Linked DNA regions of Kluyveromyces lactis. The protein of the gene in region 1 interacts with the protein of each later gene in a pairwise test. Links are inferred from orthologs where the notes say so. Each region holds a gene or a part of one and is shown on either strand. Other genes may lie near its edges.

Region 1 (6,535 bases):
TGAAAAGAGTGCCGAGGTCTGCCATACCATTATTTGTCCTCGAGTCTCTGTGGAATTGAGTTTAACGTTCTGATTTGCTGTTCATCATAATCATAACTTATAAGTTTGAATGTTAATTATAAAAAATAGTAGTTTAAAATGAGCTCAATAACATATGTTTTTTGAACTTGCTTCGACGAACAAGGATTCAGAAGAGACTGGAAAGTAAAATTGGAAACATGGATTTGATATCATTAAAAGGTTCGACACGAATTGTTACTGAGTTCTTTGAATATAGTATAAATTCAATATTATATCAACGAGCAGTATACCCGGCAGAAGACTTCGCTACAGTTAAGAAGTATGATTTGAGCTTATTAAAAACACAAGATACAGAACTTAAACAATACATACGGGAAATTCTCCGGCAGGTTCATAGGTGGTTATTGGGAGGTAAATGTCACCAGCTTGTTCTGTGTATAGTAGATAAGGATGATGGTGAAACAATTGAAAGATGGAAGTTTAACGTAGATTCTCACAGCAACAAGAACGATACTGATGATGATATGAACATTCCATTAGAGGAAACCCAAAAGGAGATTCGGGCAGTACTTAGACAGATAACAGCCAGTGTCACTTTCTTGCCCGAATTGAAAAATGAAGGTAACTATACTTTCAATGTTTTGGCCTATACTGATAGTAATGCGAATGTTCCACTAGAATGGACAGATTCTGATTCAAAAGAAATAGCGAAGGGGGAATCTGTGCAATTCAAGTCTTTCGGTACATCGGCCTATTCAGTGGGAGCTGAAGTCACTTATAAGTTCTAACAAAATTAATGGCTGAACTTATTGCATTTCCTTTTAATACTTATGCTACAAATAGGAACAAGATATAGTAGAAAAGGCACATAATACTTAATTCAACTCGAGAAAGCTCATACTAATTCAATCATCTTGGTGTCTTTTCCAAACTTCTATCCAAATCTTGAGATGTTCAATTAGCTTTTGTCTTAAGAGTCCTTCGCATTCTTCCTGCATAAATGGGAAAAGGTTGGACAATAAGCACGTTTTGAACAACTTTAATTTTGACACGGCTGCCATATCAACCCTCAACTCTTCTTTAACTCTAAGAAGAGCAGTAAAATCGAGTTTAATGTTGTCTGACTCTGCTGCTATTTGGATTATATCCTGAATTATTGCTATTTCATTTGCTAGATTTACGGTGTATCCATTATCCAATTTGACTGAGAGATATGTCAGCCTATCATAAAGCGGTTCGGCCACAAACTCAGGTATATCAAGTTCTTTTACTATTTGAAACTCTTTGCGCTCTTCAGCTAATTCATCAAAAATATCGTAAACTTGTTTTGGGTCAAACGTATCATTCAAATCGGTTCTGATCAATTCCACAGGAAACATCAGAGCAAAATGTGATTCACCAACAACATCTATAAACATATCAATTTCCTTAAACTCAGCATCTGTAAGCGTGCTTTCAGCTATAGTGAAAAAAATCATTATGTAGAAGAATGGAATCATTGCATGAGGATACCAGGTCTGATTTCAAAATAAAGTCGATAGCCGAACCAACTTGTGCGGCACATTTTGTCATATAATCAGATATATTGTAAGTGCTCAGGTTAACTGATATATCTTAATATTCATAAGTAAATAATATCTTCGAGTTTTCTGTGTCATTTTGACTTGACGCATTGACATGCCTCGAAAATGTTAAAAAAAGCCTATTTAAACTGATAAATCTGCTACAGAGGTAAAGGTAGTATTACAAGTAGTGTTGCTGTTTCGTTGGTCAAACTGCGTGTGGAAGCTTCTCTACAGAAGCAGTTAGCCCTTCTTGAAAAAAAAACTGGAGTTTGACATAAGGTTTTTTATCTCATTCAATTTATGTCCAGGAATCTTAGGGGATGGAGACCCAGTGGGTGGACTAGGGGAGGACTGTATAGCTACGGATAAATCAGGACGTGGAACAGGTTTAATCTTGAGGTCTTCCTCCAAAAATGTTTTCCATGATGGATCTGATACCCTCGATAGATTGTAAATAAAGTTTTGTAGTTCTCTAGGGTTGAAAATAAGGTCATCTGGTTTCATCGGTTGAGTATCATCATCTGATTGTTGAAATTCTGACCATACTCTTTTCCAAAGTGCCAAATCCCAAGGTACACCTTTTAGCGCTAGTATAAATGCCCAGAAATTTGAGTTTGTATTCTGACTTGCGGTTATTGCATAATAGGTTTCCAAGTATGTTGTATCAGGGTCAATAGGAGAGACAAGTAACTTTAAAAGATGCATTAGTTTTTCCACATTACTATCTATGTGTTTCGTGACTCTTTTAGCTGATGTGTCATGTTGCGGTAAACTTTCCGGAAGTGAATGCAACGTTGTCTTCAATAGTTGAACGTCTAACAATAATTGTTCTGCGATATTTATCACTTGCTTCACATCGAACTGTCTTTTCGAATTAAGAGTGCCATATGGTAAAGCTGGTTTCAAGAGCTTTATAATTTGAGATTCAAAAGAGATAGCTATTAAATCAATAGTTTTATCAATAAAATTCCAACCATAAAGATCTCTATTGAATTGAGAAACAGTGGAGTAAAATGTTGAATTTTCCGATCTTGTTGGTAGGAGGATACTCTGTAAGGTAGTCACATATCTGCTGTAATCTTCCACCATTGTATTAGCCCAATTTGTGTTTGTGAACTCCCTCCATACAAATTCCAAATCTTTCTTCAGGATGCGATTTAGTAGTAAATTGATACCACCCGATACGAGATCCATGTATTTTTGCCTTGTAGGTTCAAAAATGGCTGCAACTTTGTTGATATTTGGCTCATCATTCTCAAGATATTCACAGAGTTTATCTTGCAATTGATCAATTGTATTTGCGCAATAGTCTGCTGTATTGACAAGAAGAACGGTATATTTCACTACTTCATTCTTATCATCGATTTGTGTATCCTCAGGTAACAACAATGGTTTCAAAATCTTTTCATAATATTCATTCAACCATTTGACGAAGAAAACCGCCAATTCCACCATTATGGTCGATTTATTACCGCCTTCTATCAAGCTGAAAGTTTGAGAAAGAATGTGTCTATAAGTTCTAAACAAGTCTGCACTGGATGGAACGACAAGCGATTCATTTTTAGCTGGGAGCTTGGTCTCATTAAGATATGTCAACATCTTGGCGTTCAAAGATGAATCTTGGTGTCTAACCCATAATTTCAAATATGGCTCAAAGCAAGTGGATATTTTACCCTCGTATATATGGGAAAACTTCACTGATATGTATTTTTCAAACTCTAAGGTAGTTTGTAACGATTGCATGAATAGGTCAATGGAGGTGGTACCGGACAAATCTCTCTTCAATAATGTTTTCAAATCGTTAGACGTCATTGTGAAGAAAGAATCCGTTAGTTTCAAAGGTATCTCCCATTCTGATGGGAAATATTCGCTGAAAGTAGACTGGAAATTATTTAATACTTTTTTGAAGAAGATGTAACGTCTAGACAAATTCTCCAAAGAACCAGCTTCATCATCAATTTGGAAGATTTCTTTAATTTCATACAATAGAGAATCCAAACACAATTGCACAATCCTTTCTTTATAATGCTTATTAGTGTCCGCAAGGCAACATATACCGTCTTTCATCGTTTTGCTGTCATATTTACTGTTAGACCCATCCCTAAGCACTTCTTTCGTTACTCTCTCACACACCAATAGTGTATCACTCTCTAAACGATGAATTTGATTTAGAAACTTACAAAACTCATCCAAAGATTTATATTCGTGGAAAGATACAGATAAGGAATGCATAACTTTAAAGGGGCCGCACATTTCAATGTATTTTTCAGCTTGCATGTACTTTTTAGAGTTCACGTATGCATCACTCAAGATCTTCAAATTTTCAAAGCACGTCATCGATCTCGTTATATTCCTCTTAGCGTTATCCAAATCTGAAATATCATGTGTCAAGTCGGATATGGTTGCTTCAGTAATCTGTGACAGAGACTTCGTTGAATTTATCTTCTCAAACAACTTGTGGAAATCATAATTGTCTTCTAAACTATTGACTTCTGAACTGGTGTTATTGCTTTCTCGTACCCGCTCCTCTAAATTAAATTTACATTTTTCGGTTAATAGCACTAGGTTATCAATATCTGATAAAGATTCCTGCTTCGAGAATATCTGTTGAAGATCGTGTAAGGGATCGTATTCCAAAGATTCTGAAATCATTACTTGTTAAGTTCTAGTTATTCAATTCAAATTAATGTGCGTGATACTAATACAGGAAACAATAATGGGGAGGAGCTGGATAGAGAAGGGAGAATTATACCTCTGCAACTTACAATTGCTGGCTCTTTTTGTCATTTACTGATGATACAACAAAGGTTCTTGTTATATTTGTTTCTGTATGCAATAATTACTATGAAAGTCTGATATCAGAAATATCGAAAAAAAATACAAAGTCTTTAAAAGGTGAATTGACAGTTCCAAACCCTTTAACTATGAAAAAAATAATGCTCCAGGGGAGGTTCGAACTCTCGACCTTCAGATTATGAGACTGACGCTCTTCCGACTGAGCTACTGAAGCAATTCCTTTGAGTAGCTTCATTGACACTGTACATATACCAGAACGATGTAATCTTCGCACTGCATAATATATTATTGCTCAACGAGTTACAGTGTGTAGCCAACGATGCTGCTCTTACAAACATATGTTTTGCATATGGCAGAACAACAGAGTAAGTGCCTTCCTGAGCTATATATTGAAATGGTTTGATTTGCCAGGATCAGCGAAGTTTTAAGATACATAACTCTATTCTGCTATGATTATTCCTAGGATGTTGACGTGGATGCATCCATCACCCAGCTACATACCTATTCTTTAGAGTAAGATGATAGTACTTTCAGATCTCCAGAAACACACATGTACACATGCCTTATTCAGACACTTTGTCCCTAGTAACTATTGGCTAAAGCATTCCCATATTTTCTGCATATCTCTCAATACTGAAAAAAAAAAATGCTAAAGTATCTTTTAACAACATAGTTGAAATATAGAAAACAGTGCGTGAACAAAGGTGGCGAAGACGAAACTTGTACGTGGAAAAGCTATACCTTGGAAGGAAAGCAGATAATTCACAAATCCTTGAAAAGCAGCATGTCTTTGAAACTTCCTCAAAATCCTAATGCGGGATTGTTCAAGCAAGGGTACAATTCGTACTCTAATGCTGATGGTCAAATCAATAAATCGATCGCTGCCATTAGAGAGATTCACCAGATGTGTTTAACTTCTATGGGGCCATGCGGCAGAAACAAGATCATCATTAATCATTTGGGAAAGCACATTGTGACCAACGATGCTGCTACCATGCTAAGGGAATTAGAGATTGTCCATCCTGCTGTTAAAGTGTTGGTGATGGCATCTGAACAACAAAAAATTGATATGGGTGATGGTACTAACCTTGTTATGGTGTTGGCTGGTGAGCTTTTGAATGTTAGTGAAAAGCTTATTGCGCTAGGTCTTTCACCTGTAGAAATTATTCAAGGTTACACAATGGCAAAGAATTTTACTTTGGCAGAACTTGACAAGATGTCTGTGTTGGATATCAAGAACAAACATGAAAAAAGTGAGTTAATCAAGGTCATCAAGCCAGTCATTGCATCCAAGCAATATGGTTCTGAAGATATTTTAAGTTCCTTAGTATCAGACGCTGTGGCACATGTCTTGCTACCAAATTCCAACTATTTCAATGTCGACTCAATTAGAGTGGTAAAGATTATGGGTGGTTCCCTTACCAACTCATCTGTTATCAAGGGTTTAGTCTTCAACCGCGAACCAGAAGGACATTTGAAGTCCTTGCCTCAAGGTGAAAAGCATAAGGTTGCTGTGTTTACATGTCCAATTGATATCTCAAACACCGAAACCAAGGGTACTGTGCTTTTACATAATGCTCAGGAGATGTTAGATTTCACTAAAGGTGAAGAACAACAACTGGACCAAATGATGAAAGAAATTGCCGAGACTGGTGTTAGATGTGTTGTTGCTGGTGCCGGTGTTGGTGAGCTTGCTTTACATTATTTGAACAGATACAATATTCTCGTCCTAAAGGTGCCAAGTAAATTCGAACTTAGAAGAATTTGCCGTGTGTGTGGTGCTACACCAATGCCAAGGCTAGGTGCCCCAACTCCAGAAGAAATTGGTATTGTTGAGACCGTAAAGACGAAAGAAATTGGTGGTGATAGAGTTACCATTTTCAAACAAGAGGAGAACGAAAACACTAGGACTGCCACAATCATCTTAAGAGGTGCTACGCAAAATAACTTGGACGATATCGAACGTGCCATTGATGACGGTGTCAATGCAATTAAGGGTTTAATGAAACAGGATGGTGGAAAACTTGTTCCAGGTGCCGGTGCTACTGAAATAGAGTTGGTATCAAGAATCAGCAACTATGGTGAAAAGACGCCAGGTCTAATGCAACTTGCCATCAAACAGTTTGCCGTTGCATTCGAAGTGGTACCAAGAA
Region 2 (4,430 bases), on another chromosome or scaffold:
GAGCATTCAAAAAGTAAAAATTTATGATATGTTTACGCTTGATAGATTATGTTATATATGTATATATATGATATACAATGATATACATAAGTACTGTGAGAGAAATTTATTGCTAAAACTTCGATACGATCGGAAGATAAATCCTCACATAATGTGCCATAAACTATATAGACGCCATGCATTAAATTAGAAGGATGATGAAAATAGCTTCATTGGATGGAAAGGTGACTAACTTAATAGTTTCAGAGAAAGTTTTATTTTATCGCCTGCGTTTTCTACTTTCTAAAAAGTCACAATCTTCAGAGGTTTCCAAGTTGTTGAGATTCGGTTCTGTGAGTGGACTCACACTCATAAAAGAGCTCAACCCGGTTCTTTGCCTCTTTCCCCTGTATAACTGTTCCGAACAGTCTTCGTTTGTTATGTGGTTATGGGTATCTACCGGGGTTGGGCTTTTACTATGCAATTTCGGGGAGTTTCTTTTTGTATGATTAGGTTGTGACTGAGCCTGCGTTTGCAAATATTCGTTTACCATCTGAACGTCTGTTTGAGTCACCGAGTAAGACTCGAATAGTCGCGGGGAGAAATTCTTGAACTCCTTTACCATAATTCTGTTCCAAGCCATGGCCAATTTTTTATGATAATCGGTGATATTAGTACAGCGACTATAAATTGATGATAACAAATGCTCATAAAAGGAGCACAACCCATAGTTCAGAAGAACAGGAGAGAGATGATTCAAGCAGATAGTCTTATTCACAGGTATGCAGGGATTAGGTGTCAAACAGTTTAATAGTATGATAGGCTCCCATTCGTTCATAGGCTTGTGGCTTATGAAAACAACACAGTAAAGTTCCAAATCTCGGCTTTCGTCATGTAGTACTATATTCCAGAACTGCAAATTTGATTCTTGTGGCTTGATATGGCATGTAGAGTGCTTATAATGGCTCAAACGTTTCCATTCCCTAAGGAGTTTCCTGTACAACGGATGCATCTTATGTGGATGTGGCCTGCTATTTGAAAGAAAAAAAAGTAGTGAAGAATAACAATTATAGGCAATGGAAAAGCCTTTCCAATAATGATATATTACCACACTTAGTTGGCAATATAGTAGTTAAGATATCCAATAATAATCACGTTACCCTTAGCTTTGCATGCAAAGGTATGCAGTCTTACTGTTTTGTATTTTTACAAATCAGATTAATATATTCTATTATTATTTTTCTCTGATTATCATTTTTGATCTACAAATTCTTCATATATTGTAGAATATGTTTATACAGATAGAAGAAGAAAGAAAATTCAGAGCATTAATCAGTACCGGTATGCCTCATGTGAGCTCTCTGCAGTTACAAACTCGCATATATAAAAAATTGAGATTGAACAAAAAAATACAGCGAGGACAATGTGAACGATACAGACTATATACGCAAGTAATTTTTACTATGTCTAATGGGGTCTCTTTGTTTGTTGTTACCCGGCCACTAAAAGGCCAACTACAATTTTAGTGAAAGGAAAATCTCAGGATCGAGTGATTAATAACACACTGCATTGGTTAGGAGTTATGATTTCATTGTATTTAATATTTCACTCATTACAAAGACATTATCTGATCTTATAGTACGAATACAATAAAATTGTTTACACATCAGGAGACAAACTTACCGCTGTCTGGATCGCTGTTTATTCGTTTATTTGTTTCGAATTTTGGCTGTAACTGGTTCTCAAATAAGAAATATTTTGAACAAGTACTTCCTAATTTTACATATCAACTAGTACAAAAGTTTTGGTTTTAAATTATTAATTGACTTATTAATACACCTTTTCTTTAATTACCAACTACCTTTGAATTGACCGCAGTACAGCAATTACTTATAAAATATCACAATGGGTAACTTCTTTAGTTCTATGTTTGATAGACTATTGGGTGCGGAAAAAGAATTACGTATATTGATATTAGGGCTTGATGGTGCTGGTAAGACGACGATATTGTACAGACTACAGATAGGAGAAGTGATAACTACAAAACCTACCATTGGTTTCAATGTAGAGACGTTAAATTATAAAAACTTGAAACTTAACGTGTGGGATCTAGGTGGACAAACTTCGATTAGACCATACTGGCGTTGTTATTACGCAAACACAGCAGCAGTTATCTTCGTTGTTGACTCTACAGATAAGGACCGTATGAATATAGCTTCGAAGGAATTGCACCTCATGTTGCAAGAAGAAGAATTGCAGGACTCCGCTCTGCTCGTATTTGCCAATAAACAAGATCAACCAGGCGCATTAAGTGCGTCAGAAGTATCAAAGGAGTTGAACTTGGCAGAATTGAAGGATAGAAGCTGGAGTATTGTTGCATCCAGTGCCATTAAGGGCGAAGGGATAACTGAAGGTTTGGATTGGTTAATTGACGTGATTAAGGAAGAACAAATGTAATTGTAGAAGGAATTGAAAACTGCATGTTTTTTAGTGCTTCCGGTCCCATTATATTTATCTACAACTGAAATGCTTTTTTAATTTGACATGACCTAAGATAGTAATAAAAATAAATGACAAAGCTAATAACAAAGTTAAAATTCGAATTGTTTACTTCCTGCCGATGCTGGCGTAATGTCCTATTGAATTCCTTTACACGCTTATTTCAATAGACATTCAATTTTCCCATGCATTTTTATTTCATCTCCAAAATCCTCCACTATTTCGTTTACGTTTGCGTATGCGTGATATAATGTTTTCTCCTATTCAAACCATTCCATCGTGCCCTAGTTTCATTATATATATAGCATATTCATAATTCGCATAATTAAGCAGTCATTATACCATGCAACCACGAATCCTTTAAATGGAACATGGTCTTGCCAACTACCACCATATCATTCAGTATATGATGTATTACTTCGCTCAACGTAAAAAGGTAAATCTCTTTGTTATATATTACAGGTGTACATTACCCCCTCGACGAATATCATATACTGGAAACAAATACCAAAAGCGGTACCTCTTTTTGATTATTATTTGCTATAGTAATAACTACAGGCATATAGCAAAAAAAAAAGTAACCGTTATAAAGATCGTGAATTGAAAAAAAAGTGTGTGTTATTAAAACGATGACAACTTATAAAAAGGTCAAGGGAGGCAAATAACTCAGGCCTGTTTATCATTCATGTTATAAGTATATGAATTGGTACACTTAGGTTTGAGGTTTTGTCAATTGGTCTTTTCAGTATAAACTCCGATTTGTCATTTTCAGATTATCTTTAATTTTGAGACTGTCCAGTTCATAGGTGGGTGTAAAACTTAGTCCAATGAGGTTTTACTTTAATGCGTTCCGCTCTAGAGTGAACTCCAGGGTGTTTTTCCTCAAAGGTTTAAGAATTACACCGTTTCTTCTGTCGCCTATAGTCCCACTTTCGATGCAATGGTTTAGAGGACCGTTATTGAACAATTCAACGGCGCTAATACCCGATAAAAAAGGGGATACTTTCGAGATGGGCTTATACATTTCTTCACAGAAGCAATTACAGGAAGAAGCCGAAAAAGAGCGTGAAAGAATTATAACTACTAGTGTTATGCCCAGTTTTTTTAAGAGGATTTTGTATCGCATCAATGATGTTATTATAGAACCGGTTTTAACATTGCTTCGATTTCTAGAACTTTCATCCATATTCATTCCGTTGTTAATAATATATCCAATTACATGCCTTGGACATCATAAAACGCTAAAGGTTGATTCGAATAGAGTTGTGAAGGAGACATCAGGTTCCCTTTTGTGGTTTAAACTTCTAAGAAAGGCTTTAGAATTCGCTGGTCCTACATTCATAAAATTAGGTCAATGGGCAGGATCCCGTACTGATATTTTCTCCGAGGGTTTATGCGCAGAGTTGGGGCGCCTACACAGCAATGCTAAACCTCATGCGTTGAAATTTACAAAAGAAGCCATTGTTAATTCCTTAGATAGGAAATATGAGTTCGATGATATATTTGATGAATTTAACGAAAAACCTGTTGGATGTGGTGCCATCGCCCAGGTCTACATAGGAAAGTTAACTGAATTAATGATGAAGAACTTTGATATTAAAACGGATAGTAGGTATTTTGCAGTGAAAGTGGTTCATCCAAACGTACCGAAAAAGATAGACCGTGATTTAAAAATAATGACTTTCTTCGCCGATATGATCGACTCTGTACCCACCATGGAATGGTTGTCCTTACCAAATGAAGTGGAGCAGTTTTCCATATTGATGAAGTTGCAACTTGACCTACGTATAGAATGTCAGAACTTGCAGAAGTTCAATGATAATTTTGCTGACAATCCAAGAGTAAAGTTCCCAGTCGGCGCTATGGATTTATCTTCTCGTTATGTACTTTTTGAAGAGTATATTCACGGATTCCCAATGGAGAAATTTTTATCGAGTAAAGATGGTTTAAAG

What was found.
Region 2: the proteins of VPS53 (region 1) and ARL1 interact in binary tests that used the Saccharomyces cerevisiae proteins (3 or more experiments, as listed by UniProt). The link is inferred for Kluyveromyces lactis from reciprocal best matches to the Saccharomyces cerevisiae genes VPS53 and ARL1.

What each region holds. Positions count from the first base shown.
Region 1 is NC_006040.1:792,728-799,262, reverse strand, and holds VPS53 (Vps53p), read right to left. Parts: upstream 4,239-6,535; coding exon 1,827-4,238; downstream 1-1,826. Other genes in the region: Rab geranylgeranyltransferase BET4, read right to left, coding at 28-30; spindle checkpoint protein MAD2, read left to right, coding at 219-809; KLLA0_D09416g (uncharacterized protein), read right to left, coding at 927-1,520; chaperonin-containing T-complex subunit CCT8, read left to right, coding at 5,167-6,535. UniProt on the Saccharomyces cerevisiae protein: Involved in retrograde transport from early and late endosomes to late Golgi by linking the vesicle through the t-SNARE TGL1 to the Golgi, leading to the membrane fusion between late Golgi and endosomal vesicles.
Region 2 is NC_006041.1:2,192,670-2,197,099, forward strand, and holds ARL1 (Arf family GTPase ARL1), read left to right. Parts: upstream 1-1,884; coding exon 1,885-2,436; downstream 2,437-4,430. Other genes in the region: TYR1 (prephenate dehydrogenase (NADP(+))), read left to right, coding at 1-27; UBS1 (Ubs1p), read right to left, coding at 260-991; KLLA0_E24795g (ABC1 kinase family protein), read left to right, coding at 3,306-4,430. UniProt on the Saccharomyces cerevisiae protein: Recruits golgins such as IMH1 to the Golgi. Can bind and hydrolyze GTP. May be involved in trafficking events within the endosomal system.